Oryzias latipes: one gene and its partners. Each later gene encodes a partner of the first gene's protein in a complex. Links are inferred from orthologs where the notes say so. Each region holds a gene or a part of one and is shown in the gene's direction. Other genes may lie near its edges.

Region 1 (4,050 bases):
ATTTTTGGATGCTTGTGTGCCGCAGGAATTTTGTCAAGGATAAAGTGTGCCTTGGCTCAAAAGAGGTTGAAAAACACTGGTCTTATATTAAGAAATGATTATCAACGAACTGTTGAATACATTGTTAATCATTTGACTCTTAATTGTCCTCAGACCAGTTGCGTCCCTTCCTCGAAGACTCAGCTGGTGGATTTGTTGAACGTCTTTTTGAAGCTCTTGAGGAAAGTAGAAGCAGCCGTGGCAGCAAAGGATCTGGAGAAAAGAACCGGAAGAGAGAACTTAAGGTAAATTAATGAATAAAAATTAATGATTTAGGCCTGCACAATATATTGCAAATTTATCGTTATTGCGACATCAAGCTGTGCAAATTGCATATCGCAAAGGACTGCAAAAATTGCAATAAATTGTAACCTTAAATGTTATGGTAGCTTGAAGTATTTAATGAATCAAATAAATCCATTTATGCATTTGACCAATCAGATGGAGGTCTTTATGTTGTTGACCAAGGTAGGGTACCAAATTAACCTATGAAGAATGGTTTTGGGATCATCATTCTTTTATATTGAGAAAAGTCAGTCAAAAACTTTTGCAATACCTGTTTATGGGAACTGAGCAGCTCCACTGGAGCAATTGTGGCTGCTGTCACAGTAAGGGTCTGACTTAAGAGCACAGCGGTAGGGTTATGGGTTACTTTGTCCCATCTAAGTTTAATCTCACTAATTCTGGGAGTTGACTAGTCAGTTACTTACCACTAGTCTTCCACTGCCAAATATGACTGTATTTACTGTTTAATAAAATAAAAAGAAACCTTACTTAACTTCAGTCACACTAATTCTGTTGTTTCTGTTGAAAATGTCAACCCCACAACATTTTTAAGAATTAAGATCAATCAATCAATTTCACATTGTTTTTTAAGTTGGAAAAATACTGTGTAGGCTATACGCTCTTTTTTGTTCACTAATCAATATGTTTGAGTGTTTAGTTTTACTTATATTTGTGCTTTGACCATTCGTAGGATGTATTTGGGGAGGAGCATGACTCTGGTGCAAAGAGGGAAACATCTGAGACAGCAGATGGGACGGTAGTAAAGCGAAAACGAACACCTCGGTTTCAAGAAGTGGAGGAGCCTGAGGTCATCCCAGGACCTCCTTCTGAAAGCCCTGGCATGCTTACCAAACTGCAGGTACAAGACAAATGGCATAGATATTATGTGCTGAGTCATCTGTGAAAAATACTTCTTTATTTGGGATTTTCAACATAATATGGTTACATGTATGGTGGGCGGGTTACTTCTTCAGTATTTCTCTCAGGTATGTGGTAAAAAAGGAGGAAGATGAAATGTTTATGTGACTAAAAATGTTAAAATAAGCAAGAATATAGCTTGTTTGGAGTACTGTCATTTTGCCTGGGCCTCTGTGTTATCATTACTTTAATGTTCCTATTTATCTTCTCAACTAAACTATGAGCAGCTCCAGTAAATGTATTGTAAAAAATCAATTCTTTGTTGTTTAAACTGTGTCAGTTTTCCTTGATGTACTCCTCAAAGAAAATCCCCAAAACGTTTAAAAAGGATGAACAAAAAACAATAATTTTCAAAGTAAATATGTACACCTAATGAGCAGTATTTAAATGTATCGCTTTCTGGTTTTCATATAGATTAGAAGGGAACATATATTTAGTCTTTGTGTTGATATTGGAACTTTGGAGTACCTTTTACACATTAATTGTTGTATTTTTTCCATCTTGCATGGTTTGGGATTAACAGTATTGCAAATGTGTTTGTTACTTATTGATTTTATTTATGAAGTATGAATTTTTAGAGATAAATATTTATTTTAAAACCATGATACTTTCTTTCAGATCAAGCAGATGATGGAGGCTGCCACAAAACAAATAGAAGAAAGGAAGAAACAACTGAGCTTTTCTTCGGTCCCTTCTGCTGCAGTAATTGTTATGCACAATCATGAACAAAAATCAACAACAGTTTTTTGTCTCTAACTCAGTTTTCTTTTTAACCTTAAAGTCACAGTTGGATGGCTCACGGCTTCTGGGCGCCGCTGGTGCCTCATCTGTTGCCCCCTCGCAGGCTGCCAGCTTTATGAATGATGCTATTGAAAAAGCCCGCAAGGCAGCAGAGTTGCAGGCCCGCATTCAGTCCCAGTTATCTGTGAAGCCTGGTATCCTGGGAGCCTTGGGAAACACCGGACCTCACAACCTGGTAGCACTTGCTAATCTACATGCCATGGGAATTGCTCCACCGTGAGTAACTTGAAGATATCTAATTTATTGGGGGGAAAAACAATAGATTGTGTATTTGCTTTCTGGATACAAATAATCATTTGTATCTGTTTGTGAAACTGAAGTAAAGTGGAGATTAAGGAAGTGAACAAGCCAACACCCCTCATTCTTGATGAGAAGGGAAGAACTGTTGATGCCACTGGCAAAGAGGTTGAACTTACGCACCGCATGCCCACACTCAAAGGTAGGTCTTCTGGATCGGTGTGTAAATGTGTCTCATCATTACTGCGCTTTGACTTCATGGACCACTATTCCTTTTTTTGCAGCTAACATACGGGCGGTAAAGAGGGAACAGTTCCGTCAGCAACTGAAGGAGAAACCTAGTGATGATTTGGAGTCAACATCATACTTTGACAACCGTGTGCTCATTACGCCTGCCCAGCGCCTCCGCAGAGGCTTCAAATTTCATGAGCCCGGACGGTTTGAGAAGATTGCCCAGAGAGTTCGAACCAAGGTTGGTGAAAAGCTTGACATTATCATCTCAAGACCTTTGTTAATTATTCAGAAATACAATTTGGCAATTCAAAAACACCTTGTTTGATGCCTTTTGCATAAATGTCTTTGCCCATTAGGCCCAGTTGGAACGGCTTCAGAATGAGATTTCCCAGGCTGCTAAAAAGACAGGAATTCAGGCTTCCACCAAACTGGCATTGATTGCGCCTAGAAAGGAGATTGGAGATGGGGAAGTACCCAGTATTGAGTGGTGGGACTCCTTCATCTTGCCCTCCAACATAGTTTTGTAAGAAAAAAAACTTTAAAATGTTTTTGCAGTTTTTAAACCAATATGTTAACCTTATCTGTGCATTTCTTTTAGTTTGGTTAACTTTATTATTTTTTCCTATTTAGCAAACCGGAAACGAGGTTTGATAACGTGGAATTTTTTGGAGTAACAAACCTGGTAGAACACCCTACACAAATGAGACCTCCTGGTAAGTTTAGGTGGAAAAGAATGTGTTGAGAAATTACAGTTTCTGCCCTGTGATGTTGATAATAGACTGTTAACAGCTATTTGTCATGGATGTTTCGAGGATACGTCTTATATCCATAAGATTTTATGTGTGTTTTTCAGGAAAAAACAGGCAATTTATGAATTCCTTCACTATTCAGTGCATAGTTGTATTTATAGTTCGTTCGCCATTTTGCAGTGCTTTCAGAATCTACTATTTCAGAATCGAGTGCCCTAAATTTTTTTCCAGACGTCTCTGCAAAAAAACAGTGTGCATTGATGCTCACTAGATTGGCGAATATAGACCATAATGCATTGCGTTCGAACAATTTTGCGAAAAAAGTGTTTAGATGCATTTTTTTATAAATAAACAATCAATGTTTTCATTCTCAGTGGATTCATAAAAAGTCGTCATAAATTTAGATTTTCACTTCGTGAAATAGGTGATGTCATATTTGCTGTTTGCCTTTAAAGTCCAGGGCAATAGATTGTCCTGCACTATAAAGCTTTTTAATTGTAGTAATGAGGGAACTCTGACAAAGCCAGACAGAAAGCTTTACCGTAAAGTAAGTATCCTAGTCCAATAAACTTTTGAAAAGTGATTTGTTAACCACTAAATTAGAAAATTGTAGCTATATCTGATGAAATCCACTGTAACATGTCCTCAGCTAACATCCTGTTAGGCACCCCTTGCCAGACTTAATCCCAGTTTTGACTGTACAATATCTAAACTCTTCCTGTGGTCAAAACTGGTCTCTAAAGACATTTGTAAGGGATTTTTGTCTAAGTATTTTTTCTCTTTATCT
Region 2 (4,950 bases), on another chromosome or scaffold:
GGATCAAAATCTCCAACATAACATCTCTGAAGATCCCTAAATCCTTGATAGCTGTGTAATTGTCTTGCTAAATGTGAACAAACAACCGGGAAAAAAAACAAGTTTTTATCTGTGCCACCATTTAACCCTTGTGCTATCCTAGGCAATTTAACATTGGGAGTTGGGTCATCTAGACCCACTAGACAGTGCACTGAACCTTTTTTCTTCAATGATTTGTGATCTTCACTGGTGTCCATGGATTACATGAAATCTTTCCACCTTTATCCACCTTTGTCATGGTAGGGAGAACATGTCAAAGTAAGGGTGGGGTCATCTAAGATAACACAAGGGTTAAAAGAAGATTTGACAAGATTTACTATGGCGATTCATGAAGTAAAATGTCAAAAAGCAAAATGAGAAGTTTTACACACTCCACATGACATACAGCTTTCTTTTGATCCGTGCTATTTGTTGTAACGGCTGTCTGCAACAGCTGAGGAAACGAATGTAGTCTGAGTACAATCTATAGGTGTGCACTTTCCCCTACAAAGTGTTTACCTCTAAGTAAATCCTTTTGCTTGCTTGATCAGCAATTGGATAATTGCCTGGCAACAAAAGCTGACAACCCAGATCAACATCTAAGTGACATGATTCAAAGGCATCAGTGTAAACAGGCCTGTTAGCATCCACCCAAAACAAGTGCTTGTTTGATCTCTGCAAATGTCACTGCTCATGGCTGGACTGGAACTACGTTCAGAGTCAGGTTAGCATGCATTAAACGCCTGAAACCCTCATGGACACGTAAAGTAGATACACATGACCACACGCTGCACAGGTACAGGTGTTTACAGAGTAGCCTGTCTGCTGACGCCAGTCAATGACCCTGTTGCAATGGAAATCAAATGATGGTTCATTTGGTGATGTCTTTTATTATCCCATTATGCTTTGTCTTTCCTCATTAGAAACCTCTTCCAGCGTGAGAAAGCCCCGCATTAAGCAATGTTTATGCGTCTCACTGAAGTGGTAAAAAAGACTAGTCCACATAAATAAACACGCAAGGGTATGTATATGATACGTAAAGTCTGTTCATTCAAAAACTATGTAGAGTAAATGTTTATAGCTCTCTGTGGTCGATGAAAAAAATCCATTTGAATTGATTGAGTCGTTTCATTTTCATAATCTCTTCTTGCTGGGATGTTTTGACAAGCATATGTGCCAGCTATACACGTGTTCGGGATTCAAATCTTTCACATAAAACAAATAAGGAAAAGAGAAAAAACATAGTGAGGAGGATTATGGAAAAAAAACATGCACCACTGCAAGGAATCAATAAAATATTTTTACAAATATCTATCCAGTGTTCCATTATAGTTGATTTTTTCCAATGAGTAATCATCAAATTAAATTCATGTTAATCTAATTCAGGACAAATAAACAAGTCATTTTTTATTGTGTACATTTTTAATCTGTTAACGTTTCATGATTTCTATTTTTGTTTGAAAGTCCAATGTCCTATAATGATTGGTATTCCTGGACCTCTCTGAGGCCTTTTGATGAAAATTAGTTTTTATTTACTATTACTACTACTTCCAATACTACTAAAAAAGAATAATAATAGTACAAAAAATAATAACACTTATTATTATTATTGTTGTTGTTGTTTCTCCTTAACCATCTTTCTGGTAACTGGCTGACTCAAGTGAGTCTACATTCTGTTTGACCTAACACACCTGGTTTAGGTAATCAGAATCAACTACATGTCCCATAATGCACGGCGAAAAGCGCCACAGGAAACAAACGCTTTGTTGGTGCATTGTGGGTAAGCGGAAAAAAGGCTCAAACGCCAAGCTCAACGACTAGCCCACGTTGCTGAGCCGCTAAAAAGAACAACAATTCAAGAATTCAAAGGGAGTTGAAGTAAGACTTTAAACCCTAGCTACTAAAGCTAGCAAGTATTATATTGTGGTTGGTATTTAGCTGTGAATGTGATTCAGAATTATCGCTTTTTGTCTACATTGCCTCCCATTTGCTAAGTTTCGAATATGTCCATCGCTCCATCCATGCCTGATATTTAGCTTGTGTCTAAAATAATTTGCACGTTTGAGTCCCAACAATGTTGGGTGTGAAGCATTAACGTTAAATATATTGTGGTGGTTTACTTCCCACAGTTTTTAATTAATGTTTTGTTTCGCTTGAGGCCAGTAGTTGGTGGCTAGTTAGCTAACGTGGCTAGCTAAGCTAGCCATTAGCGTTACTACGTTTTAAAAGTAATCCCGAACATTTACCTGATTAAACTGTGTAATCCAAAACTGAAGAGTTTTCTGCAGCACTTGATTTCTCTACGTAGAAATAATACCGTCTTGATAAACAGTACAAGAAATAAATCACTAACGAGGTAGCTTAGCTAATGATAATGGAAACATTGTTATACTTAAGTGCCTTTTTTGTACGTTTTTTTTTGTGGGTGTAAATTACCTTATTTACAGCACAAAACAAGTCTTAAGTATGTTCTAACAGTAAATATTACTTCCAAGCCAGACACATGCAAACATAATAATCATAAAATTGGATGAATGAATTGCATGTTGTAGACTTTCAGTAGCCTTCTGTAAACAAAGACAATACCGTACGTCAGGTTTTGTGATAATACTGTATGTTTCAGTGCCCTTTACCGTATGTTTTGTCTTTTTTTTTAATTTAATAGCCTAGAAAGACCGTTTCCAAAATGTCCATTGGCGTACCAATCAAGGTCCTGCATGAAGCAGAGGGACACATTGTGACCTGTGAAACCAACACTGGAGAGGTTTACAGGGGCAAACTGATCGAGGCTGAAGACAACATGAACTGCCAGGTTTGTATGGAGTAACGTCCCCCCCCCAAAAAAAAAAAGCATGCCGTAAATTTCTATTTAGAGTTCAACTCACTGTACCACACTTGAGAAGAACATTTTAAATGTGTAAAGAACACAAGAATGTTTTTTTAATGGACATTTTATTGTTGGCTGCCCCCCCCCCCTTTTATTTCACATACTTTTTGGAAACAAAAATGCCAAAGGTATTTTAATGCAGTTTATTGCACCAACTCTTATTTAGACTTGCACATTTGTTTTTTTTGCTTTCACAGGAATAAGTCTAGAATCTACCAATTATAACAAGCAGGTGATGTAGAACTATTTGAGTAGGTTTGTTGAGAATGTAGTATTTTAGTAAAACAATTGCGGTGAGACAAACTCATGTTATACTTTCTTTCTTTCTTTTTTTTTTTTAAAAAACAGTTGTTCAACATGTTTGTAGCGAAAGACAAATCGGTTACTCCTCTTCGAAGAAAAATCTCTCCCGGTTTCTTTGTCCCTCAAAATCTCAGCCAACCACACGTGTGTAACGTATGATTGATTGATGTAGTGACTTAATTACTCAATGAGATCAATGGTGCTTTTACAGTCAACAAAACATACTCCCTTTTACTAATATGCATCAGGTCAGTGACCTGTAGGGAAAAACAAAAACCATAAATGATTTATCATTACCGTTGGAAGTAAATAGAAACACAGCACTAAGAAACCAAACGGCCCTGTGTGGAAAAAGGAAATTATGTTGGATTATTTTAAAGTTTTGGGACAGGTTGCCTTTATGACCTTTGTTTTTTTGTTGTTTTTTTTGGGTCTCTAGTTTTGGTTGCACATCTGTAACAAACAAATCTGGAATAACAATTTTATTTTATTTTGTAAATTTAAGTTGTGTTCTTTCTATTAACTGACCCAATTCACCCCCCCCCCCTAAAAAAATCTGTATAGTTATCTGGTCATATATGCACATTTGTCCTTGAAATATTTAAAGCCATTTTTCTTAAAGTATTGAGTACTGTAACTAAATATATTTCCCAAACATCCTGTCAATGCTGATAGTCTTTTCAAGCTTCATTAGTGCAGTAAAAGTTTAATAGACTCCAAATCTGTTTATTTCATTTAAAAGCAGAAATTTTGGTGGATAAAGCTCAGTGTGTCTTAAAAGTACTCTAAAGATAAGTGTGAAGGCTTTAACAAAACGCTAAATATTCTAAAACGTATATTCTGTTAATAATTGTAGATTTCTTATTAATCAAATGACAAATCAAAAAGGTTGTTAGAAATTATTTTAAGGGATTAAATGAAGTATCTACAAATGTGTTTTCAAATAGAGAACTGCATTGCCAAGTTTAACAGATAACTTAAAATGTTAACCTGCATTCCATTGAACACTGTAAACGTGTATCAAGCCATTTTACGAATCTAAGACCGGAACCATTTATTTCTATGTCCCAACAGATGTCCAACATCACAGTAACCTATCGTGACGGGCGGGTTGCCCAGCTGGAACAAGTGTACATTCGTGGCAGCAAGATCCGCTTTCTGATCTTACCAGACATGTTAAAGAACGCTCCAATGTTAAAGAGTATGAAGAACAAGAACCAGGGTTCTGGAGCAGGAAGAGGCAAAGCGGCCATTCTGAAAGCACAAGGTGAGTGGTTCCTAACCAATGCTGATAAATGGTGTGTCCACTTTTCCTTATTCTTGGTACACCCTGCTTCCTGAATGCTGTTTTTTTTTTTTTTTTACTGAATTATTTCTGAATTTGTTGTCTCCCTTTGCAGTGGCTGCAAGAGGCAGAGGTCGTGGTGGAATGGGAAGAGGCAACATTTTCCAGAAGAGACGATAGCTTTTCCTTTTCAATGTTTTTATTTTTTCTCATGTCGTTTACTTGAATGACTTGTCTGTTATTTGCAATCTTGTCTTTGCAAGTTAGTTCTTGAATTTTTCTTTTTTTTTTAAACAAAAATAAAAGATGTTTCAAAATGTCTTAAATTAATATCCCTTTTGTCTTGTTTTTATTATTCCTGTACTTGTTTGACATGCTGACTATCTAATTTCTTTTTTATTTAAAAGCAGTACATTTTTCCGTTCAAGGTGCAAGTTAGATTTCTTGAGCAGAATTA
Region 3 (3,429 bases), on another chromosome or scaffold:
ACCTTATACGTTAAACATAGTCATCACAGTTGTGATCGGATGGTGAAAAACCTTTATTTTGGTGAATGTCACTGTGGATTGTGCATCGTTAAAGTAACAGGAATATTTATTGAGGCTAAAGAGCCGCCGGAGATTTCAGACATCCAGAGTTCATGTCATGAATCCTTTGTCAGGGTTGTTCAACACATCCCAGGCTCCTCATCAGTTTCTCTGTTGATGTTTTTAAAAGCTGCCAGTAGAAACCGTTATTTCAGTAGTTTTTGTTCATAAATGTTAATAGTTTTTTGTATTTATTTAATCATGCCTGAATGTATTTACAGTTAGATAAAACATATTCTTTAGTGTTTTTCCATTCATGTTGGCGACGTGACAGTGTTATGCCACATATCATGGCACCTCTACCTCCATTCTTTACTGTTTGAGACTCCCTGTTGCTCAGTTCTAAGTTTGTTTTCAGCTGCATTTCTTTGCTGTATCAAATTTTTATTTCTCACATTATTTTCTGCCACCTTATCAGTCACAGTTGTTCCTCCGTCTGAATGTGTGCTGCAGGATGCTGAAGAGTGTGATAAAGCGGGCAGCGTGGCCACTTGTCAGGCTGTGATAAGGGCAGTCATCGGCATTGGCATTGAAGAGGAGGACCGTAAACACACATGGATGGAGGATGCTGACAGTGTAAGTTGGTTGAATTTGGAGCACAAGACGAGTCGGATCACTGCACAATGCACTGCTCAATTATCTGGCCAATTACATTATGTGATTTTATTTTTTTAATGGAGTAATTAAAGGCCTGTGGTTTTTGTGCTCCAGTGTGTGGCTCATGGAGCTCTGGAGTGTGCCAGAGCCATCTATGCCCATGCCCTTCAAGTGTTCCCCAGTAAGAAAAGTGTCTGGCTCAGAGCTGCCTACTTTGAGAAAAACCACGGGACCAGGTCAGTCTTTTTTTTTTTCAAACATATTTTATCATCCATGAAGTCGTGCTTTATTATCTTATTCTCCTTGCTTCATTTCCATTAATTGCATTCGATTCTATCTCTGTCACTTTTTGTTTTCTAACTTTTCATGGTGTGCCTCAGGGAGTCTTTGGAGGCCCTGCTGCAGAGAGCCGTAGCTCACTGTCCCAAAGCTGAGGTCCTGTGGCTGATGGGTGCCAAGTCCAAGTGGCTGGCTGGTGATGTGCCAGCAGCTCGAAGCATCCTCGCTCTGGCCTTTCAGGTGGCGATGAACTCCTGCAAACTCTGGACACATTATCATAATGATTATAAATTAGCTTTTAATGCAGACCAGTCCTTTGTTATTGTTTTCTTTTTAGGCCAACCCAAACAGTGAAGAGATCTGGCTTGCTGCTGTAAAACTGGAGTCTGAAAACAACGAGTATGAGAGAGCCCGCCGACTGTTGGCCAAGGCTCGCAGCAGTGCACCAACAGCCAGGGTGAGCGCCTGTGTTTGTTTATGCTCATTTCTCTTCCCTTATTAGGACCGTTGTGGTTACAACCATTCTTTTGGGAGGCGCTGGTCCTCCTGGGAATCAAAGTTTAGCTCTAAAGAGGAAAAACGTCATGTCTGCCATTAAAAATGGGGCCAAAATATCAGTAGTTTTGAAGCTGTACCTATAGAATTAGGTTTGAATTCAGACTTTGGAAAAATAAATGGAAGTCCTAATAAGGATATTGGAGTTTTAAAACTTTTTCTCCCAGACTTCTCCTAATACAAGCATTTAAATGGAGACTTCCCTAACTTTCTGATTTGCCTCCCAATATGATTGAACAGTTTATGATTAAATTAGCTCATAGTATAGTTATAATAAACCACATTTTTCACAAGATTGTCTGACAAGAGTCATGCCAGATTTGGCTATAATGTTGTGTTGTTTCCTGTCAGAAACCCGTTGTTCAATCATGATCTAAAAGAAGGTTGTCTCAGTCTTCTTTACTAATTCTGTTGAGGCCAGCAGTGTCAGTTAGTCATCTCCACTCACTTTGACAGGTGCTTTCAGAAAAGCCTGTCACCTGTCACCGTTGATCTTTATCGTGCTCCAATCCCGCCTCATATCGCAATTGTGTGCTGAGAGATGCCAACCTAAGAGAATCTACTCTGCTGTGGGCTGTGCTGATCCTGCTGTCAGACTGTTGAGGAAGCTGTTGATTTTTCAGGCTACAATGATAGAAAGTGGCATTGAATGGCTCACTTCTCAAGGCTGAAAAAAAGATAAATCAGAGTCCAAAATATAAAAAAACAGCCCAGACGTAACATCAACATCTGAAGAGACTCGAAAAATTTCCAGTTGAATATTTTATCCTGTACTTGTGTTGCCAATCACAGAAAAAAAAACATTTGATGGGACACATTTTAGGGTCTGTTGGTTCAGATACGCGTCTGATTATAGATGCTGAAATCCTTATTTTATTCCTTTTTGGGTAAAAGAGTAAAAGGTTTTATTGTTTTTGAATTGTTCATGTTTAATGTACTTGTTAAGTCTAAAATGTATATTAATTTATGTTTAGTGACCTATGTTCTTTATTTGGTAAAGTGAGTTTAAACTCCCGACTGCTTTTATTTTTATTTTTTTATAACAAAGCTCAGAAGTATTTTGCACTAATATAAATTAGCTTAATTGCAGCCATTGTTGTCGTTTTTTTGTGTATAGTGAAGAGTGTAGTAATCTTGTATGTTGGGACTGTAGCAGAAGTGTAAACTATTGTTTTATGGCTTTGTAACAAAGTCCAGACTTGAAATCTCTGACAGCCGGTATAATTCTGAATAAGGTCACATCCAGGCTTGCTGTGTAAAAAACACATTTGAACTTTTTCTTTTTTTAAATTTCAGGTCTTCATGAAATCTGTGAAGCTGGAGTGGGTGTTGGGAAACATAGAAGCTGCTCAGGATCTGTGCACGGAGGCGCTGAAACATTACGAGGACTTCCCCAAGCTTTGGATGATGCGAGGTCAGATTGAGGAGCAGTGTGAGAACATGGACAAGGCTAGAGAGGCGTATAACCAAGGGGTGAGGGGAAAAAAAAACAGACCAAACCTTAGGTGGATGAGCTCTTTAGGTGATAATTATCTTTTCTGTTTCCATAGTTAAAAAAGTGTCCACACTCAGTGGCGCTGTGGTTCCTGCTGTCTCGTCTGGAGGAGCGAGTCGGACAGCTGACGAGAGCCAGAGCGATCCTGGAAAAGTCTCGGCTGAAAAACCCTCAGTGCGCCGACCTTTGGTGAGAAACTCTTGAACCCTTCAGATTTCTCCCCCAATGAAAAGGAAAAGACATTTCTGTGTTTAGAGACACAATCTAACAGGAACATTTCTGTCTGTGGGTCTATTCTTTTGGTCTAAACTGAGCATAGACGTGCATTTAGAATCATTTTTTACCCTTACTTGTTTAAAAGAAACGTATAGAAATGAAGCCAAATGTCTATTGTTCCACGAGCT
Region 4 (4,768 bases), on another chromosome or scaffold:
CAGTTGTTGGCTGTAGAAGCTCCAGTTCTCCGCTAACAGGAAACACCTGAATTCAATGCACCTAAAAAGGTGTTCTGGGTCAAACCAACAAACTGACCCGGATTCAGATGAGGGAGGTCTGCTGCCGTTCTGTTCAGAACACGGTTGTCAGGGTTACCTCTGGGTCAAAGGTCACAGAGAACCCTGATCATGAACCCAATCATCCCAAATGTTGCTGTGTTCTGTTCAGATGCTGTTTGCACACAGGTCACATGATGCCACCCACGGGCGTGTTCAGTGGTCATGGCTAAAGGGGGCGTGGCTTAAGAGGGCTCAATGAGTGAGATCTAAAGCCATACACACTGTGTTTGTGCGTATGTTCTAACCGTGCGTGTGTCATTGTGCGTGTGTGTGACATTGCAAGGATTTGCACTCCAGCTCGGCAGTACATCCACCCACCCACACTCACTCACGCACACACGCACGTGCACAGCACTGCCATTTAAATAGTGGGTCAGAGTCGTTTTCATGTAGCTTCACCAACCAAACTGTATGTTTGTTTTCTTTAAAGGAACAAGGATGTTGTAAAGTATTTTTGTACAAATTTAATACTTTGGTAGCATGAGGTTCCTGGTGTTTGTCCCAGTCCCGTCAGCCTTCATTCACCCCCCACCTCCCACCCCACCTTCTGTTTTTTTAATACTGAGCAACAATAAAGTGAGACGGGAGGCTGTGACTCCACATGTGGTCTAACATTAGCACATGCATTCAAACGTGTCTGTTTGGGTTTCCTGTCATGTATATAATGTTTCACATTAAACTGAACTAAAGTTTTACATTTGTAAAAATCTCTGAGTCAAAATCTTCTTCAGGAAATCTTAATTTCTCTCTTGATCATCCGAGGTCGTCCAGGACGCAGAACAGATGATCAGGTGAGGTTCTTCAACCGGCCTGGTCTGAATGTTAAAATGGAGATACGTCTCCATTTATATCCCATCATCCCTTTGTTTACGCTCTCTCCCACTAGCTTACAGCCCCTCACAACCCCAACTTAACTTTACTAGTGTAACCGTACAGCAAGCAGTATCAGAGCTTGCCATCCATCCAGGTCTGATCCAGATTCCAGTTCAGACCAGGAGAACGACGACGTTCATGGATCTGGTGGATGATCAGAAAGGGGCGGAGCAGGAAGGCTGTGGCCCCGCCCATCTTTGTTGCTGCGTAACAACTGGGAGTTTTTTTCAAATGGCATTTTTTTTGCTACTGATTTACGATTTTAATAAAGAAGTACTTAGAAACGCAGTTTTATCTTAAATAATTTTATATATGCTCTCCATTACGAGAAAAATGCTACAAGAACATGTTAAAAACATCACATCAGAGTGGGTCTTTAAGGAGAAACTGAAAACTAGGCTAGAATTAGTTTTGGATCCTAAACCGTTAAGAGAAACGTGAAACCGGATAATGACCACATCTAATGATTGGTTCTGATGATGCTGGAATGTGTGAAGTATTTGTTACAAAAATAAATTTTAAGAAAAACAGCCTGAAAAGTTCAGATTGGAGCTGTCATTTCATTTAATTGTATGATTATTTGTTTAATTAAGTTCTTTAAACAAACACTTTTTAAAGCAGATTTTAATAATGTGTGAATGTGTGAGGATGGAAATTAAAAGTAAAGAACAGCTCAAAAACAATTTCTCCAAACTCCGTCCCAGGTGGTGACACTAATGCGCCAGCAGGGTGTTTGCTAACCGCCAAAAGAAAACACAGAAGAAGAAGGAGGACATGCGCATGCGCGCTTTGACGCCTCAGCTCTATGAATCTGTGTGAGATTAGCTGAGCCTGGCTGTTGTTAGCTGCCGCCGTTAGCCTGTGCGGTGTTTTTGCGGGTTCTCTTAGCCTGTTTCAAACGCAAGTCTTCCCGCCAGCTGGATAAATAAAAAAGGAGCTCCGGACAAACATGTCCACCGCGCTGGAGAGCTACATCAACCGTATCCTTCCGCTGCTGCTAGCGGCTAACAGGCTAACCGCCGTTTAAATGAATGGAGGGCTAACTGCTAGCTTAGCGCGCTAACGAAAACTCGTGTTTTGTTAAATATAAAGAGTGTAATTTAAATGTCTATTTAGTAGGCTTAACTAAATTCATCTTTAGATTTCAAACACTGTTTATTTTGTGCTTTTGTTCGGGTATCGTGCAAAAATAAGAATTTGTAGCCTTTTGGGTTATTTTCAGCAGAAAGTTTAAACCAGATTATTTTTCTTATCGTTTCCTGATTATTATTCATCGATCATTGGAGAACCGGGTTTGTCAGTAGAAGTAAAGAATAAATAATTAGGAGAAATGCTCTTTTATATTTCCTTAGATTATTCCTAGAGATTAAAGAGATTTGCATGAATCTCTTTAGTTCTGGAGGAGGATCTCCTCACAGGAACCAAAACATTCTGAGAACTTCATGATGAATATCAGGAATTCTACTTCTAAACCGCTTTTATTTTCCCAGAGTTCATCTTTTTGAAAACATGCTGCTGGTTTCCCCGCGTGTCTTCAGTGAAACTGAATCTTATCTTACAGATTCGTGCTAATTTCTCCTACATCCCATAATTAAATTCGTATTTAAATCAGCTGCAGAGAAGTTTGTTTTGCTGAAAAGCAAACCACAAAAAAACAGTAAAAAGTAACATCACACTGACTCAGTTTAATCAACTCCAATAAAAATTGTGTTTCTGATTTCAATTAGGCAGCAGTGGATGCAGTTTATTCTCAGCAACAGAAAAGCAGCTGTGAAGGTTTTTGTTCTTTGAGGCTGAATCTGTACAGCATGTTGTCTTTTCCACCAACCAGAAGTCGGGGCGGGGCTTCGGTCACCTGGGCTCAGTTTTTTCTTAAACTTTTTCTCTGCTGGTATCTGGAGTCCAGGGGACTTTGGATCCGACACTTCGCTCTGAACTCAGAGGAAAAGCTGCTGTAGAGATTTTTGAGCTTCCTAGAAGCTGTGAGGTGATGATGTGTTCTGGATGAGTTTCTTTGACCGATGCTGGCTCAGGTACGGTGGCCATCGTCACTTCAGACGGCAGGATGATCGTGGTGAGTTCAAATGCTCCTCCTGTCCTCGGCTGGATCCGCTCTTTTCGGTTGGAGCCCAGCCTCATTTTCTCATTTCTGATTCTCTTCAGGGAACTCTGAAAGGCTTCGATCAGACCATCAACCTCATCCTGGATGAGAGTCACGAGCGCGTCTTCAGCTCCAGTCAGGGCGTGGAGCAGGTGGTGCTGGGACTCTACATCGTCAGAGGAGACAACGTGTGAGTCTGAGACCGCCGGTCCTCCCATCAGAACACAGAGAAACAGGAAACAGTTGAAGACAGTTGAAAGGACATTTGATCTGAAAACAGCAGGTAAAAGCAGCTCAGCAGCAGAGTAGAGCGTCTACCTTCAGCCCGTGGGTTCGAGTCCACAGGTCGACAGAATCCTCCCCCTCCAGGGGCAAAGAGCCGCTCTGATGAAAATGCTCTTCTTCTTGTAGAGGTTTTCTGATGATGGAGGTCATAGATTCAGATCATTGAGATCAATTTCTGAGTTTTTCTTTAATCAAATTGTTGTGAATCAGGAGCAGACGAAAAAAATGCTGATGGGAAAAAATTACATTTATAGCGTAGAAAATACTCTGGGCGGGGCCACAGTCTCCCTGCCCCGCCCCTTTCTGATCATCCACCTGCAGACCAACAGATCCATGAACGTCTGTTCTCCTGGTCTGAGCTGGAATCTGGATCAGAACTGGACGGGTGGACCTGATGTTGCTGCTGTTTTTGTTGTTCCATTAATGTTAAGATGGGGGGGTGAGGGGCTGTAAGCTAGCAGGAGAGAGTGTAAACACATGGATGATGGGAAATGAAGATGGGCTCACTCTGCACTGCGAACCATCTGAAAATAGATCAGAAGCTGGTGGGAGTGGGACTTTAGCCCCCCAGCGGGCTCTAAAGGTCATTCTGACGGCGTGGCGATTCTTTTTTTCCTCATCAGAGCGGTGATCGGTGAGATCGACGAAGAGACCGACTCCACGCTGGACTTGGGGAACATCCGAGCCGAGCCGCTCAACTCTGTGGTTCACTGAGCTCACCGTCTCCACGGCAACAGTGGACTCAGGGGGAGGGGTCTGCTGCAGCGGGAGCCGTGGAGATGAAGATCTGAGGGTGATCAGAGTCTTCCTCCTCCAACAGACTGTTCTGATGTTTCCACGTTTGTATTTTTATAAAGGAGGTTTGAGTCACGGTCTTCATCTCCAACAGAGAAAAGTTGAATAACGTTGGATTTGATTCTTTTCATTTTGCTTTAAGGTGAAACCAAGACTCAAAAAAAGACTTGAGTTTGTTTTAAAGCACAAAGTTCTGCTTTTCTTCAGCTCCATGTTCTCGTCTTTCAGGGAAGAACAAATAAATGTGTGAAAATGTTTTCCTTTTAGAGCTTCTGTTCTGAAAACTTTATTAGCTATTTTTTTTAAACAGACGTTTATTTTATTTAGATATTTGCTTTGCTTTATTTGTGATCATGGAAACTTGAACTCATTGTTTTGTTTTTTGTCCAAAACGTTGAAAGATAGAAAAAACATGAAGCTCCGCCCTTGAAGCTAACATCCAATCAAATCAGTCGTAGCGATAAACTGCTGGAGACTCCAGCATTTCTGCGTAGGAATGATCTTCTGTTTGACAGTCAGCTCACCCGTTTATTGGTTCAGGCCGTCTTCCCCCGTCCTATCAGGATGGTTTAGCTCATAGTTATCTGGTTTGGC
Region 5 (4,647 bases), on another chromosome or scaffold:
AAAGTCTTTTTAGAATAGGGTTAGTTTTACATGATAGTCTATAGAGAAACTCTGTTTTTGCTTTTAATGATCCACTTATCTACCTATCCATCCTCAGAACCCACTGAATCCTTTAACTGAGCAACTGTTGAGTAAAGTTAGTGGACCACTACGTCACTGTGCAGCCCTATATTTGATGAAAATGAATTAAGTTAACAGTTGCAGAAAGACTCACTCTATCAAGTATGTATCTTGTAATAAAAGAATTTCCAAAACATAGGAAAATTCATAAAAGGAGTAAATGGTCCAGAGTTATCTCACCTGTTTGTTTTTTATCCTGAACTAGAGTCCACTGAGACACCGTCCACTCCACAGTTTAAGCACATTTAGTGGAATTTACCCGTGTCAACAACAGAAGACCCAGGAGCAACGTCTTAACTTTCTCAAAAACAAAACAAAAGAACTTTTGAATTAATAATTATTTTAAAGATAAAACTGTGTACATTCAGTTGTGATTCGTTGCTATAGAGTTTTCTGTTTCAGATCAAGTTCGTAAACCATGATGAGTAAAGAAGCTGAAAAGATTTGTTAAAACATCTGAGTGCTCGACACTGCCCCCGTGTGGTCTTTCATCAGAATACAGAAAGAACTCTTGAAACAAAACGGTCACAATTGTGTTCATTTTCTGATTTTTATTGCATCAAACTGTAGATAAAATCAGAAAGACATTGGAGAAGAAACAGAATAAAACTCCAAATGGCACTGGAGACCAAAGGTTCTTTAAATTAGAAGACGTAAACAATAAATATATCCAGTTTTCATACAGAAAACTTTCAGCATTAAAGCATGAAAAGCATGCTTTCCTTTGACCAGTATAGAAAAACACAATTTCTTTACAAAGATTAATATCGTTATTAATATAGTTTAGGTTCTATGTTTTTATTACGACCCTACGTTTTTTTTTTGTTTTTTTTTGGTGGCCCTAAAACTCCGTCGTAATTTATAAAAGAACATTGAGGAACAAACTTAATCCTGATTAAAAACTCTTGCAGCAAATTATAGACATTTCAGGTTTGTGTTTGTGTGTGTTTTTAAATCACAGTAAAGGTCTGCATACTACAAAAAAATAAAGTTTTGAGGTACAAAAAGTATCACAAACATGTCTGGTAGCTAGACTAGAAGCTAGACTAAATCTGAATTAGACTTTTGATATTTTATTCAATTTTTTAAGAGATGGCTCATAATGTTTTTTATGTCTTTTTTTTTTAAAGAAATATGAGTGAAAGCCTAAATTTAAATCTCGGTCAATGAAAAACACCTGATAGTTCCTTAATAAACATTGAACGACAGTGTGTCTCCCTCTAGTGGCGCAAAGTGGTACTCACTCACCGCTGAAACACGGCGCAGGCTGATACGTCATCAACAGCAGCCAAACCTTCTGTAGAACACCACAGCCAAAATGGTAAGGCGTAAATCGTCATTTTAAAATGTACTTTTTTAGTTTAAGTCAAACATTTTAGGTTTCTGAGTGTCAGAATTCTTCTGAATTTCTTTTGTTTTGTCGCTGAGTTTGCTCGCAGTGTGCTGAGCCGCTTTGTCGGCCCATCATCGTGCTAACATCGTCTTTTTTTTAAAAAAAATCTACAGCTTTTCTACTCGTTTTTCAAGTCTTTGGTTGGGAAGGACGTGGTGGTGGAGCTGAAAAACGACCTCAGGTTGGTTTTGATAACTCAACATACCAATTTGTTTGGTAATGTTTCTTTTCAAAGCGCCGTTTGTGGTTAAAAATGGCGCGTGGTTCTGCTAGCGCTGTTTGAATGGGTGCAGTGAAGAGCTACTTAGCATTGACAGAGACATTGACTCTGTCAGAGTTGCTGTCTTTCCTTCTAGCTGGTGTTTTGCATCTCATGCTGGTCACAGTGGCGTGGGGTTGCCATCCCTTCCTTCCAGCATTTGTTGCAAATCTGGCTCAATAGGTTGGTGCCAGCAGCGTGAAAAATGTACTTTTTTTCCTGTTAGTTTTCTGAGCTAACTCTTGGTCTGCAAACGTGCTGCAAATTCATTTTAGACCTTTTTCCCGAAGAAGTAGGGTCAATTGCGGGGGTGGGGGTGGGGGGTCAATCAAACTAGCTGCATCTCATGATGAAAGCTCAAAAGTAAATATTAAAATTAGCTTACAGTTAGTTGTTGGGCATTCTTTAAAGACGTAACTCATAATTCTTAGCTCCTCTCACAGATGGACGATACTTAGACATGTGGTACTTTTTTTAAAAACCCATCCAAATGAAAAAAGTGGTTTTGATGCCATAAGCTCCCTGCTCTGCTCCATTCTGATGCATCCACTTGCAGGCAAATAGATTTGTCCGTCTTTGTTTTCCTGGTCTGAGCTGGCACAAATAACTGTACGGCTGGATTGCTCCAATATTACTTTTTTTTTCTTTTTTGTTGCACACCTAATGTTGGGTTAAGGGGGGGGGGTTGTAAGTTAGCAAAGGATGATGGGAAGATGGGGCAGGCTTGCTCTGCACCAACGATCTCAGACAAATTTCTAGTGAACAACTGCTGCTCTGCAGAAACTGTCCTAGAAAACGACGCAGGTTTTTTTTTTATTTTTGGCTAAAAACAGCACATTTAAAGACCACTAGGAGCGCTTTAAAAAGATAAGAGTGGGATATAAGAAAAAACAGACTTTCCTGCAGCATTGACAATAGAAATAAATTTACTGAACAAAAACTTTGACTTGTTCAATACAAATTTGCATATTCCCAGAAAGTCATTTAACATCAAAAGTTCACTGTTGCATTGAAAGCTTCATTTTCTCTTTTTCCCCCCAGTATCTGTGGGACGCTTCATTCTGTTGATCAGGTTAGAAAATAATTAATTCTTTACTTTTTTTAATTAATCAATGTATTGGTTTGCAATTTAAAAATGTTGTTCTTGTCATCATCTAGTACCTGAACATCAAGTTGACCGACATCAGTGTGACAGACCCAGAGAAGTATCCACACATGGCAAGTCCTCATCTATGGTTTACTTTTTAGTCTAAAGTTTGCATAGAGGCCTCTAAAACATACAGTTGTTTTTATTCTTTTATTTCCTTCTGTCAGTATAACAAACATTTTTAAAGTTGTCTGCTGGGTGAGAAATGTAGAAGCACACCTTTGGAAGTTCAGTTTCAGTGTAGGGCAGAGCAGACAGCAGTTCTTCAGGTAAACAGCAAAGATTTAGAAACATTTTTCAGAGTTTCTAAACTACAATTTTTCAGAAAAACATTTAAAAATATGCAGAAGTTCTACACTCACTGCCCACTTTATTAGGCGCACCTTGCTAGTACTGGGTTGGACCCCATTTTGCCTTCAGAACTGCCTTAATCCTTGGTGGCAGAGATTCAACAAAGTTCTGGAAACATTTCTCAGAGAGTTTGGTCCATATTGACATGACAGCATCACACGGTTGCTGCAGATTTGTCGGCTGCACATCCATGATGCCAATCTCCCGTTCCACCACATCCCAAAGGTGATCTATTGGGTTGAGATCTGGTGACTGTGGAGACCATCGAGTCCAGAGAACTCATTATTAATAGATGATTTCAGCTTTGCTGCGTTCAAAATCACTTAAATCACCTTTTTTCCTCATTCTGATGCTCGGGTTGAACAGCAGCAGATCATCTTGACCATGTCTAAATGCATTGATTTGCTGTCATGTGATTGGCTGGTTGGAAATTTGTGATAACGAGCAGATGGACAGGTGTGCCTAATAAAGTGGCAGGTGAGTGTAAATGTGGTTATTTGACCCGTGAGAGTGGTGGGAAAAAGAGAAGTGTTAGCTTCTGAATCCCCTTGGATGTGTTCATTCTCTTCCTCTGGAAGGCGCCCTGCCTGACTCCGTGTCTCACGTGTTTCACGCTCTCCAGCTGTCTGTGAAAAACTGTTTCATCCGCGGCTCGGTGGTCCGGTACGTTCAGCTGCCGGCAGACGAGGTGGACACTCAGCTGCTTCAGGACGCCGCTCGGAAGGAAGCCATGCAGCAGAAGCAGTGACCGGGGCTGCGGGTTCGGGGAGGGGGGCTTTAAGTCATGGGTTCTTTATAGTTCAGTTTGAAGAAGACCGCTGTGAACCGCCTCCACACACTGCGCCGGTCGATGGAGAATTGAGTGCATTCCTGATGTTGGCGATGGGCCAACTGCAGGTCTGTGGGTTTATGGACATTTTCTTTACTTCTGAGGCGGTTTAGGATCTTTGTCTTTTGTTTCATTCCTATAGAGTTTGGCCTAAAGTGAAGCCTGCAGATGAGACTCTGCCATTTTCCAATAGCTGTAACTTTTTTGTTTTTTAATGCCATTTGGAAATAAAATAATTTATATTTGGCTGTGTTGCTCCGCCTTTTTTTGTTTTGTTTTTTCTTTTCTAAGATGCTGGGGTGTAAGCCTGCACTATAAATTGCAAATGTATCATTATCGCCAAACAATCTTATGGCACCTTGAAGGGTTTAATGAATCAAATAAATCCCTGTACGCGTTTGACCAATCGGATGGATCCCTTTTGTAGATGACTCTTAATTAAATTAAACTGTTGACGGGAAATGGAAATTACATTTTTAGCTGTTTTGCTATTTATTCATGTGTCATAAGTTATATCGTCATCACAATATTGATCATTAACATCGCAG
Region 6 (4,718 bases), on another chromosome or scaffold:
ATCACCCACGAGGCCTTCATCCATGCAGCCTCCCAGGACATACAGAGAGGAGTCCAGCCCCATGGAGCAGTGGCTGTGTCTGGATTTCTGCAGGGCCGGCCCATCCACCCAGCGCTGATTTGAACATTCGTATATCTTCACCCAGTCCACACTGAACCACAGCACATCTCTGAAGTGGCCTCCAGTCACAACCACGTTGTTTCCTAAATGGAAAATACACCTTAAATTTACATTTATTTTATACATTTATAATGTAATATAATTTATACATTTATTTCACATTTGAGATTTCAAGAAAAGCATTCTCTTTAATCTTAATTGGATATTACCTACTGCAGCTACTGAGTACTGAGTTAGATTCTTCTGCTGCAAAGGTGCACAGCACTGCCATCTACCGCTCAGAGGGTGGAACTGATACAGTGCCTGCTGTTCCTGATCATGAGGCCCTCCCAGGACATAGAGAGTCTCTGTAGCTTTGGTCCGCCTCAAAGACCTGCCTACTGACCAAGAGGCTGGGAAGTGATCATTCAGCTTGCTGATGAGCCTTGCTCGAGGGTCAGAACCTTTCATTCTGGTCAGAAGTTGGGTAATAAATGCTAAGGAGAGAGACTCTGGTCTCACCAGCTCTATTAGCTCTAAAAAATGTTCTTCTCGTTTAGGATCAAACGAAACCCAGCGCAGGGTGGCTTCAAGCGCCACATCGTCTTTGTGGAGAGCCAGATCATCACTGGCAAGTAGATCAGCAATACTTTCCTTGGAAAGGGACAGAAAATCCTCTTCAGCTGAGACCGCAGGGAAGTGTGTGAGCACAACCTGCCGGGCTGCAGAATAAAGCTGAGAGCAGCCCAGTTGCCATGCATAGGCCATCATTCCTAAACAATTCGTGAGGTGTAGCTCGCGCTCCAAGAACTTGCAACACAGCAGTCTGGCTTTTTCTAGTTGTAGATAGTTTGCAGTCTCAAGAATCCCAAGAACATTTTCATGGTCCAAAGTCAGACGGCGAGTCTTGCTGTACTCTATCAAAACTTTGAAAGACTGTCGACCCACACCTTTGATCTCAACAAGCTTTTTGCGGCTTTCCACACCACAGCCAAAGAACAGAGCTCTGAAGTATGGACTCTGAAGGGCCAGGTGCTCCCGACAGACGTAAAAGTTCTCCTCCTCTACCCGTAGGACAGCATCTGGAATAAAATCCGGCCCAGGGTCTTCCACATGAAAAGCATATCCATCTTCGTCCATTGTGTTATCTAACTCATGGAAAAGATTGATTGAAGCTCTGAAACTTCACTTCAGTCACTGTAAAGAGTAAAACAAGTCTACTGCTTTGTCCTGTTTCTGGATCACAACTACGGTAGGTTCCCAACACACCAGCTGGTGTGTACTTTGTTTATTAATAGACGCCCCTGCCCGGAGAATGCAGTTAAGAAAGAGGTCAACTTTGAAAAGTAAAAGTTTTTTTAAAAATTACTATTAAAATACAATTATTTAGTAAAACTAAAGCTAAGAACATTTTTTTATTTTATTTTTTGAGTGCAAATAACTTCAGATGACGTCAGATGCGAGTTTACGGCGATGTGATTGGTGCTATTAAATTGTATCTGGGGTCAAAGTTTAACTTCCGGGTCACACTTCAAACATGGCGGTGAGTGCGAAATAATTTCGTTTAATTTTCTCTCTTATTGTTCACCGAACATTTTCTATTTGGTGTTAGTCAGTAATAGAATACTTGAGGAAATGAGAATAACATTTCTGAAGTAACGGCCGTTTTATTTGTGAAATTGTTACTGCCTTAGTCAGTGATGCTAAGCTAATGCTAGGCTAAGGGTCTGCGCCTTAAACTGTGCATTAATCTTGGAAACTGACATTTCTTTACAGGATAAAGAAAAGAAAAAGAAGGAGAGCATCTTTGACTTGTCCAAATACATCGACAAGCCAATTCGTGTGAAGTTTCAAGGAGGACGGGAGGGTAGGTGGCTTGTCGAAAGATTGTAACTTGTGGTGACCAGAATATTCACAGTGATGTCAGAATATAATTATTTACTTTGTTTATTCCCTCTTTAGCCAGCGGAGTTCTAAAAGGGTTCGATCCTCTATTGAACCTGGTGTTGGACGGTACAATTGAGTACATGCGTGGTAAGTGAAAACTCACGTGTACCCACTTTTCTTAATGGAGAACTAATAATTAAGTAGTTAGGAGTTATTTAGTCCATGGTTTACTGATACTGTTATGTGGACTCAGGCTGTGAGGTTCAAACTTTCTAATTCTTTTTCATTTCCAAAAATACTGTAACTCTTCTTTCAGTTAGAATATCAGCTTCACTCTTCAAACTGTTTTTTTAAGTAAATCAATTGTATTGATCTCCATTTAAAAAATGTAATATTTACTCATCAAAGCCGCAAGATTTTCTTTTTTTTTTTTAAACGATTTTCTCGTGCCTTCTCAGACAGGAGAAGCCAATCTGTTCGCCTTTATAATATTTACAATTTTTTGTATTTAAAGTTCTATTTTTCTTCAATTTATGAAAGTGACTATTCCCACATAATTTTCTAAATACGTAGAGCCGGTGCAGAACTTCTTTCTTGGCCTCACAGACCTGGAGGAATGGTTAGGGTTGGGTAAAACCACTAATGACTCTGATAAATGCATCTTTGCTGAACTTAATACGTGAATTTCCATCTGTTCTTGTGCAGTTTTTACTCGTAAATAAGTGTGAAAAACATCAGCGTTAATTTAATTCATCAGTTCTACAAAAGTGTGTATTTCTTAAAAACTAAAGCTTTAATAAAAATTGAAAAAAGTTAAATTGGAAATTAAAATGAGACTGAACTTTTTCAATAAACATTGATTTATTGTGCTGTAGTCTAAGACAGGTATTTTAGGACTTAATGTTTTGTTTTTAATCAAACTTTGAACTGCGTTTTCTAATCACAATTCCCCATCTTGAAAAAATGTCCTGTTTGTCATCATGAATGCATCATGTCTGCATCATGTCTCTAAAGATTCATAAAGAAGGTTATTCATATTTTTCAGAAAAACCATCAACAAGATGGACTTTTGTTTTCCAAATACATAACATGACCTCATTATTTCTTACTATGATGAGCATTCATGATGAAGACACATTAAAGTCGAGAGAAAATTAACACTAGCCCACTCTCTAATGCCGGATTAACAATGATTAATAAAGTAAACACATTTTAAACGTATATATAATTTGGCTGCATTAAAATGTCACAAAGAGCAGTTGGAGCTACTTTGATCGCCATGGCGAAAAACTGTTTTTTGTAAGAATGTTTTTTCTTCTAATTCTCCTTTCTAAATATTGTAACTTTTCTTTCAGTAAGAATTTCACCTTCACTCTTCAAACTAAGTAAATTAATTGTATTGATCTCCAGTTAAAAACTATAATAATAATTCATCAAACTCGCGTTTAATAACGATTAAAAACTTGGCGTGTTTTTCCGTAAACCAAAGTTTTTATCTCCCATTTGCATAGGTTCTAATAGGTCATTATCATATTCTGAAGCATTTCCTTAACATTAAGAGTCCACTAGCTAGAAAAAAATGTTTTTGTGTTTGAACTAATAACTCTTTGCATTGTAATATTGTTTTCCTCTAGTATCGGATCAACTGTGGACTCTTGTTCTGTTAAGCATTTGTCACATTTACTGACGGCAATAAAAATCTCTTTAAATGTACAAAAACTGCAACATAAAGATGAACATCCTCTGGCATTTACAATCCCTTTGTGTGTCTGTGTGCAGATCCAGACGACCAGCTGAAGCTGACAGAAGACACCAGGCAGCTGGGGCTGGTGGTCTGCAGAGGAACCTCCGTCGTCCTGATCTGTCCTCAGGACGGCATGGAGGCCATACCCAACCCCTTCATACAGCAGCAAGACGGCTAAATCGCCCATGAAGTGTTAGACCTTTGTTTTGTTTCTATTTTTGTTGTTTTTGTTTTAACCAACCTAATGGAAGAAAGCTGGAGAATCAGCAGTAAAAATGACTTTTGAATGCACTTCCCTTTTGTTTGTGGTGTCCAGACGTTGGAACCTCTGTTCTAAAGAGCTCATGTGCTACGGAAGTGCAAACCTTTTCATTTTTATGCAGGAACAACGTGAGCTTTTTACTGTTTGTTTTTGATAAGAAAAATAAAAGGAAAACCTATGCTGGAGTTTGTTTTTATCTTTGGGTGCAGTCGCTCCTTGCAGTGATCTGAGCTGGATCACATCTTCCTTTTCACACCCTGAGTGAGCTTTTGTCAGTTTGAAGGGAGTTTTTGTGTTTGGAATGGGAAAGCTTAGGCACACAGGGAGAAATCTGCGGCATTAACGACTTTAAATTAGAAATGCTGTAAGCAGAGTGGGGATACTGTGCTTAACACCCATGTTTACATTGTTTTTCTAAATGATGGAGAATTTTTGCAATAATAAGTTAAAATAAATCAAATTCTGCAGAAAAAAATGTGGCGTTTAATGTCTAGTTTTCATGGATAAATTGTACCTTAGTTTTATTGTGGGTTTTGGGACCCTGATGGAAGAACTCGGCGGATCCTCCTAGAGCTCTTTAAGATCTTTGGTCAGGTGAGGCACTCACCTGTTTACCTGGAGCTCCTGGACACACTGAGGTGTGGCCAACGGGATCCCAGCGGATGGAGCTGGGAGGAGACGGGGATTCCTGCAGCTCAAGCTGCCGTTTCTGAGTCAACAACACCG
Region 7 (3,657 bases), on another chromosome or scaffold:
GTATAAAAAATAAATAGATACATATATAAATATATACTGCAACTTCCAGCTTTTTCTGCCACAATTGACACAAAAATGGATGTGAGATTGTGGAAGGCTGGGCATGCTTTTACATTTCAACATGTTGACGAGCCTTTTCTGCTCTCTCCCATAAATACTCCTGTGGAGAAAATATGTCTGTCCGTTATCCCAGAAGAAACATTATTTCAAATTAACATTGCATCTCTACCTCAGAGCATGTCTTATTGGAATATGTTTGCTGATGATATTGCATGGAAGGAGGTTTGGCAAACCCCTAATAAACGCTTGATCACCAATTAAGTAAAATAAGCTACTTTTAGGATTATCCACAGAATTTACCCAGATACAATTTTCATTCAAAAAAGATTAGATGAAACATTGATACATCTGTAGTTTTTGCTGCAATTCCCCTGAAACAGACATCCATCTTTTCTGGAATTGTCCTCAAGTTAAAGTGCTTTGGTAGAAGATTTGTGATTTCATACATGACAAAATTGATTCTTGTTTTGTTTTATTCTGGAAACATGTTTTGTTGGATCTTATATCAAAGGATACACAAAAGGACTCTGGTTGGCTTTTAAATCTCTTGCTCATGTTGGCCAAACAAAAAAAAAACAGTTACAACTTTTTTTAAATTGGTGGGTTTTTATATTATGTTCAGACCCCATTTTCTTTGTCTTTCACTTTTTTTTTAACTTTATTGACAATTGAGGTATCATACATTAAATAACGAACAATAACCATGTAATCAACATTACCTTGAAGATCAATCACCATTGCCAAACATAACATATTAACAAAAAAATAAAGAATAGAGAAAAACAAAAAAACAATGAACATAACACACAAATAAATAAAAACGAATAAGTAAAATAAAAATAAAATAAAAGAACATAGATCCAATCTAAATAGTCTAATACTAGTTAGGGGTACTCGTGAAGTTTGTATTTCTGAACAAAACAAAGCAATTTCAAGTCATTCTTCTTTTTCATATAATGAAGTGATTTGAAGTAAAAAACAGAGCTCTTTATGAAATGTTATAAAAAGTGTTTTGGTCTTCAAATATTTATTTTTGTGTATATAAAACTTTCCTTGCAACATCTGGATATTAAGAACACCAAATAGAAATTTTTCTGCGTGTAAATGAACTGGCATTGCAATTTTGGAAGAATACCAAAAGCAGAATTCCTCCCAGAATGTTTTTATAACTCCTTTGTCTTACACCTAAACAAACGTTGCTGTTCAAATAAATACTCCACGTTCGATTGCTTTTGCCTGCTGGACTGCGCTCATTTGTCGATTGGTCGGGCCTGTGCGGAAGCGTGTTCGTCAGTAAACATGGCAGCCACCCAGGGCACGAACCCGTCCCAGCTGCTCCCACTCGGTCCGTAAGCTTTAAATTAAGCCCGTTTTCTATCCGGGGTCTGACGGGGATTCACGCAAAACTCCGGGAAGTGTTCATGCGGGGGTCAGAGCCGGGGCCGCTGCGTGGTTTGAACGGTCTGACAATGGCGGGCAGGAGTTAGCAGCTAATTGTTCGTTAGCATCGAAACGCTCATGCTGTTAAAACTACGTTAAAGAATGACACTTTTTAAGTCTTTGGGTGTTTGTCTGATTGTAATATATTTAATTCATCGATTAATATGGTCCTGCCGTAAAGGGTTCGTAGTTGACGCGCTTTTTGAATTGCATAGCAATGCTGCAGCTAGCCGCTCCTTGCGACCGTGTTGCTAATTAGCCCAAAAGGAAACGTTTTCACCTCGTCATTCATTATCATTAATATTATTAGGATGTACTACTCTTAAGAGATGGTTTTCCTTATGTTGGATGCCTTGCGTAAACTTTATTTTAAACAAAAAGTTAAGTTACAGACACCTGTTAAAATATAAAATCAGTGTGGTTTGTAGACTGCATGCATGAAACTGAAATAACTGTTCTTCTTTCTTCAGAGCTTGTGGACAAATGCATCGGCTCTCGAATTCACATCGTCATGAAAACAGACAAAGAAATCGTCGGAACCTTGTTAGGTTTTGATGATTTTGTCAGTATCCTTCATCGATATTTTGGTATCAGTGTTGTGCTGTTTCCCTGTTTGGCCCACAGCCGCTCCTTAACTCTGTGTCAGACATGGTGCTGGAGGATGTGACAGAATTGTAAGTATCTTGTTTTCTTTTTTTTTGTGTACTTGGGGCTTGCTGTTGATGTGTTTTTGTTTTTCCAGTGAAATCACACCGGAAGGCAGGAGGATAACAAAGCTGGATCAGATCCTCCTGAATGGAAACAACATCACCATGGTGAGAAAGCAGTCGGTGGGAAGGATGGGGGGGGTGTCGCTGACCGGATCTCTCATCAGAATGGTTCTCTTTGCAGCTCATCCCAGGTGGAGAAGGCCCAGACGTGTAGATGTCAAGTTTTCTAAATGTACATACATCTTTGGTTGTTCTGGATTGATGTTAGTTTGCGGATTTCTCTTACTGGACATTTTGTTTTTAATATTTTTTAGTTTTGATTCTTTAAGGTTTGAATGAATCACGTCAAGGACAGAAAAGCTCTTTTTGTTATAAATAAACCAGATGATTAAACACAGTTTGATTTACAAGTTTATTATTCATAGGTTCACTTTAGTGCAATTTTCTTTCCTGTTTTTAAAAAGTGTTGGCATCCAACAGCAGTAATAACAGCTCACGGTTCATGAAGTCTAAATCTAAAGTTGCGCTCCTCCAAAACGGCGTACCGCTGCCGCCTCAGTACATGGAGGATTTCTCCTCTCCTTTTGGGTTGGTCACCTTTTCCAGGTTTTTGTTGATGATGTCGTACAGCTCGGCCTGAGGAAGTGAGAAGCTTGTTTGAATGAAAAGGTAATACACTTTAGCTATAAAACACCCCTAAAAACACATTTTCTTATATAAAACTAGGAATTTAACCTTTTTTTTGGTTAAAACCTTAAATACTTTCATTAAAATCCTACATCTGAGTGGAGGAAGATTTAAAAAGAACTTGTTTTAATCCAAGTAACTTCTTTTTTTTGTAAACCAAACAATTTATGCTACAAGAATCTCCAACTAAAAGTGAGCAAAAGTGTCTGGAATCCAAAGCATTTAGCGGCTGGAGCTTTGTCGTCTTACGTAGAAGCCGCGGATGTCGAGGAGGATCACCCTGAGGTCAGAGAAGAGCGCTCTGTCCTTCTCATGAACCAGTGAGCGGTAGTCCATCTGAGGGCAACACAACGACAGTTAAAGGTGTTTCAGGACGTCCGAGCCCATTGGCTACTGGGACATGATTGACAGAAGTCAAAGTGACGCCATGTAGGTGGAAGGTGGAGCAGTGTTTGTGAGACCGCCGTCAGAGTCGGAGCTGTGCTGACCAACGCATCATCTCAGATGCTCTACAAGCTTTCAGTTGTGCTAACTGAGTATTTTAGGTTCATTTGTCTGCTGCTATGTGTTTTCATGTATGTTTACTTTGTATTTATGTGATTGTGCTGCTACTAGAACTTCCTTTCCCTGCAGGGACTGATAGAGTTGATCTTAATCTATGTCCGCTGCAGAGCAGCGTCTGTTGTCGTGTCGTCCCTCCTGTGATGTACCAAATTCTGGGAGAGCTTCACGCCACATCAGAGAAGGTGGCGCCAACAAC

What was found.
Region 2: prpf3 (region 1) and snrpd3 share a complex: the UniProt entries of both Homo sapiens proteins name them as parts of the U4/U6-U5 tri-snRNP complex. The link is inferred for Oryzias latipes from reciprocal best matches to the Homo sapiens genes PRPF3 and SNRPD3.
Region 3: prpf3 (region 1) and prpf6 share a complex: the UniProt entries of both Homo sapiens proteins name them as parts of the U4/U6-U5 tri-snRNP complex. The link is inferred for Oryzias latipes from reciprocal best matches to the Homo sapiens genes PRPF3 and PRPF6.
Region 4: prpf3 (region 1) and lsm8 share a complex: the UniProt entries of both Homo sapiens proteins name them as parts of the precatalytic spliceosome. The link is inferred for Oryzias latipes from reciprocal best matches to the Homo sapiens genes PRPF3 and LSM8.
Region 5: prpf3 (region 1) and lsm2 share a complex: the UniProt entries of both Homo sapiens proteins name them as parts of the precatalytic spliceosome. The link is inferred for Oryzias latipes from reciprocal best matches to the Homo sapiens genes PRPF3 and LSM2.
Region 6: prpf3 (region 1) and lsm7 share a complex: the UniProt entries of both Homo sapiens proteins name them as parts of the precatalytic spliceosome. The link is inferred for Oryzias latipes from reciprocal best matches to the Homo sapiens genes PRPF3 and LSM7.
Region 7: prpf3 (region 1) and lsm5 share a complex: the UniProt entries of both Homo sapiens proteins name them as parts of the precatalytic spliceosome. The link is inferred for Oryzias latipes from reciprocal best matches to the Homo sapiens genes PRPF3 and LSM5.

Annotation. Positions count from the first base shown.
Region 1 is NC_019874.2:18,950,677-18,954,726, forward strand, and holds part of prpf3 (U4/U6 small nuclear ribonucleoprotein Prp3), read left to right. Parts: intron 1-153; coding exon 154-284; intron 285-1,015; coding exon 1,016-1,183; intron 1,184-1,860; coding exon 1,861-1,944; intron 1,945-2,023; coding exon 2,024-2,259; intron 2,260-2,363; coding exon 2,364-2,482; intron 2,483-2,564; coding exon 2,565-2,752; intron 2,753-2,870; coding exon 2,871-3,037; intron 3,038-3,144; coding exon 3,145-3,227; intron 3,228-4,050. UniProt on the Homo sapiens protein: Plays a role in pre-mRNA splicing as component of the U4/U6-U5 tri-snRNP complex that is involved in spliceosome assembly, and as component of the precatalytic spliceosome (spliceosome B complex).
Region 2 is NC_019870.2:16,128,525-16,133,474, reverse strand, and holds snrpd3 (small nuclear ribonucleoprotein Sm D3), read left to right. Parts: upstream 1-1,766; 5' UTR 1,767-1,896; intron 1,897-2,683; 5' UTR 2,684-2,704; coding exon 2,705-2,830; intron 2,831-4,282; coding exon 4,283-4,475; intron 4,476-4,608; coding exon 4,609-4,673; 3' UTR 4,674-4,820; downstream 4,821-4,950. UniProt on the Homo sapiens protein: Plays a role in pre-mRNA splicing as a core component of the spliceosomal U1, U2, U4 and U5 small nuclear ribonucleoproteins (snRNPs), the building blocks of the spliceosome.
Region 3 is NC_019865.2:15,457,376-15,460,804, reverse strand, and holds part of prpf6 (pre-mRNA-processing factor 6), read left to right. Parts: intron 1-552; coding exon 553-675; intron 676-810; coding exon 811-932; intron 933-1,076; coding exon 1,077-1,215; intron 1,216-1,312; coding exon 1,313-1,432; intron 1,433-2,826; coding exon 2,827-3,003; intron 3,004-3,080; coding exon 3,081-3,214; intron 3,215-3,429. UniProt on the Homo sapiens protein: Involved in pre-mRNA splicing as component of the U4/U6-U5 tri-snRNP complex, one of the building blocks of the spliceosome.
Region 4 is NC_019881.2:23,243,531-23,248,298, reverse strand, and holds lsm8 (LSM8 homolog, U6 small nuclear RNA associated), read left to right. Parts: upstream 1-1,740; 5' UTR 1,741-1,942; coding exon 1,943-1,973; intron 1,974-3,026; coding exon 3,027-3,067; intron 3,068-3,156; coding exon 3,157-3,284; intron 3,285-4,002; coding exon 4,003-4,093; 3' UTR 4,094-4,440; downstream 4,441-4,768. UniProt on the Homo sapiens protein: Plays a role in pre-mRNA splicing as component of the U4/U6-U5 tri-snRNP complex that is involved in spliceosome assembly, and as component of the precatalytic spliceosome (spliceosome B complex).
Region 5 is NC_019862.2:27,136,674-27,141,320, forward strand, and holds lsm2 (U6 snRNA-associated Sm-like protein LSm2), read left to right. Parts: upstream 1-1,320; 5' UTR 1,321-1,438; coding exon 1,439-1,441; intron 1,442-1,626; coding exon 1,627-1,694; intron 1,695-2,813; coding exon 2,814-2,844; intron 2,845-2,930; coding exon 2,931-2,990; intron 2,991-3,892; coding exon 3,893-4,018; 3' UTR 4,019-4,347; downstream 4,348-4,647. UniProt on the Homo sapiens protein: Plays a role in pre-mRNA splicing as component of the U4/U6-U5 tri-snRNP complex that is involved in spliceosome assembly, and as component of the precatalytic spliceosome (spliceosome B complex).
Region 6 is NC_019862.2:8,272,294-8,277,011, reverse strand, and holds lsm7 (U6 snRNA-associated Sm-like protein LSm7), read left to right. Parts: upstream 1-1,529; 5' UTR 1,530-1,636; coding exon 1,637-1,642; intron 1,643-1,875; coding exon 1,876-1,966; intron 1,967-2,061; coding exon 2,062-2,133; intron 2,134-3,765; coding exon 3,766-3,908; 3' UTR 3,909-4,177; downstream 4,178-4,718. Other genes in the region: kelch-like protein 24, read right to left, coding at 1-203, 330-1,239. UniProt on the Homo sapiens protein: Plays a role in pre-mRNA splicing as component of the U4/U6-U5 tri-snRNP complex that is involved in spliceosome assembly, and as component of the precatalytic spliceosome (spliceosome B complex).
Region 7 is NC_019878.2:23,646,589-23,650,245, reverse strand, and holds lsm5 (U6 snRNA-associated Sm-like protein LSm5), read left to right. Parts: upstream 1-1,286; 5' UTR 1,287-1,359; coding exon 1,360-1,405; intron 1,406-1,466; exon of another isoform or gene 1,467-1,481; coding exon of another isoform or gene 1,482-1,521; intron 1,522-1,970; coding exon 1,971-2,066; intron 2,067-2,146; coding exon 2,147-2,174; intron 2,175-2,242; coding exon 2,243-2,315; intron 2,316-2,391; coding exon 2,392-2,424; 3' UTR 2,425-2,607; downstream 2,608-3,657. Other genes in the region: psme2 (proteasome activator complex subunit 2), read right to left, coding at 2,766-2,846, 3,147-3,233. UniProt on the Homo sapiens protein: Plays a role in pre-mRNA splicing as component of the U4/U6-U5 tri-snRNP complex that is involved in spliceosome assembly, and as component of the precatalytic spliceosome (spliceosome B complex).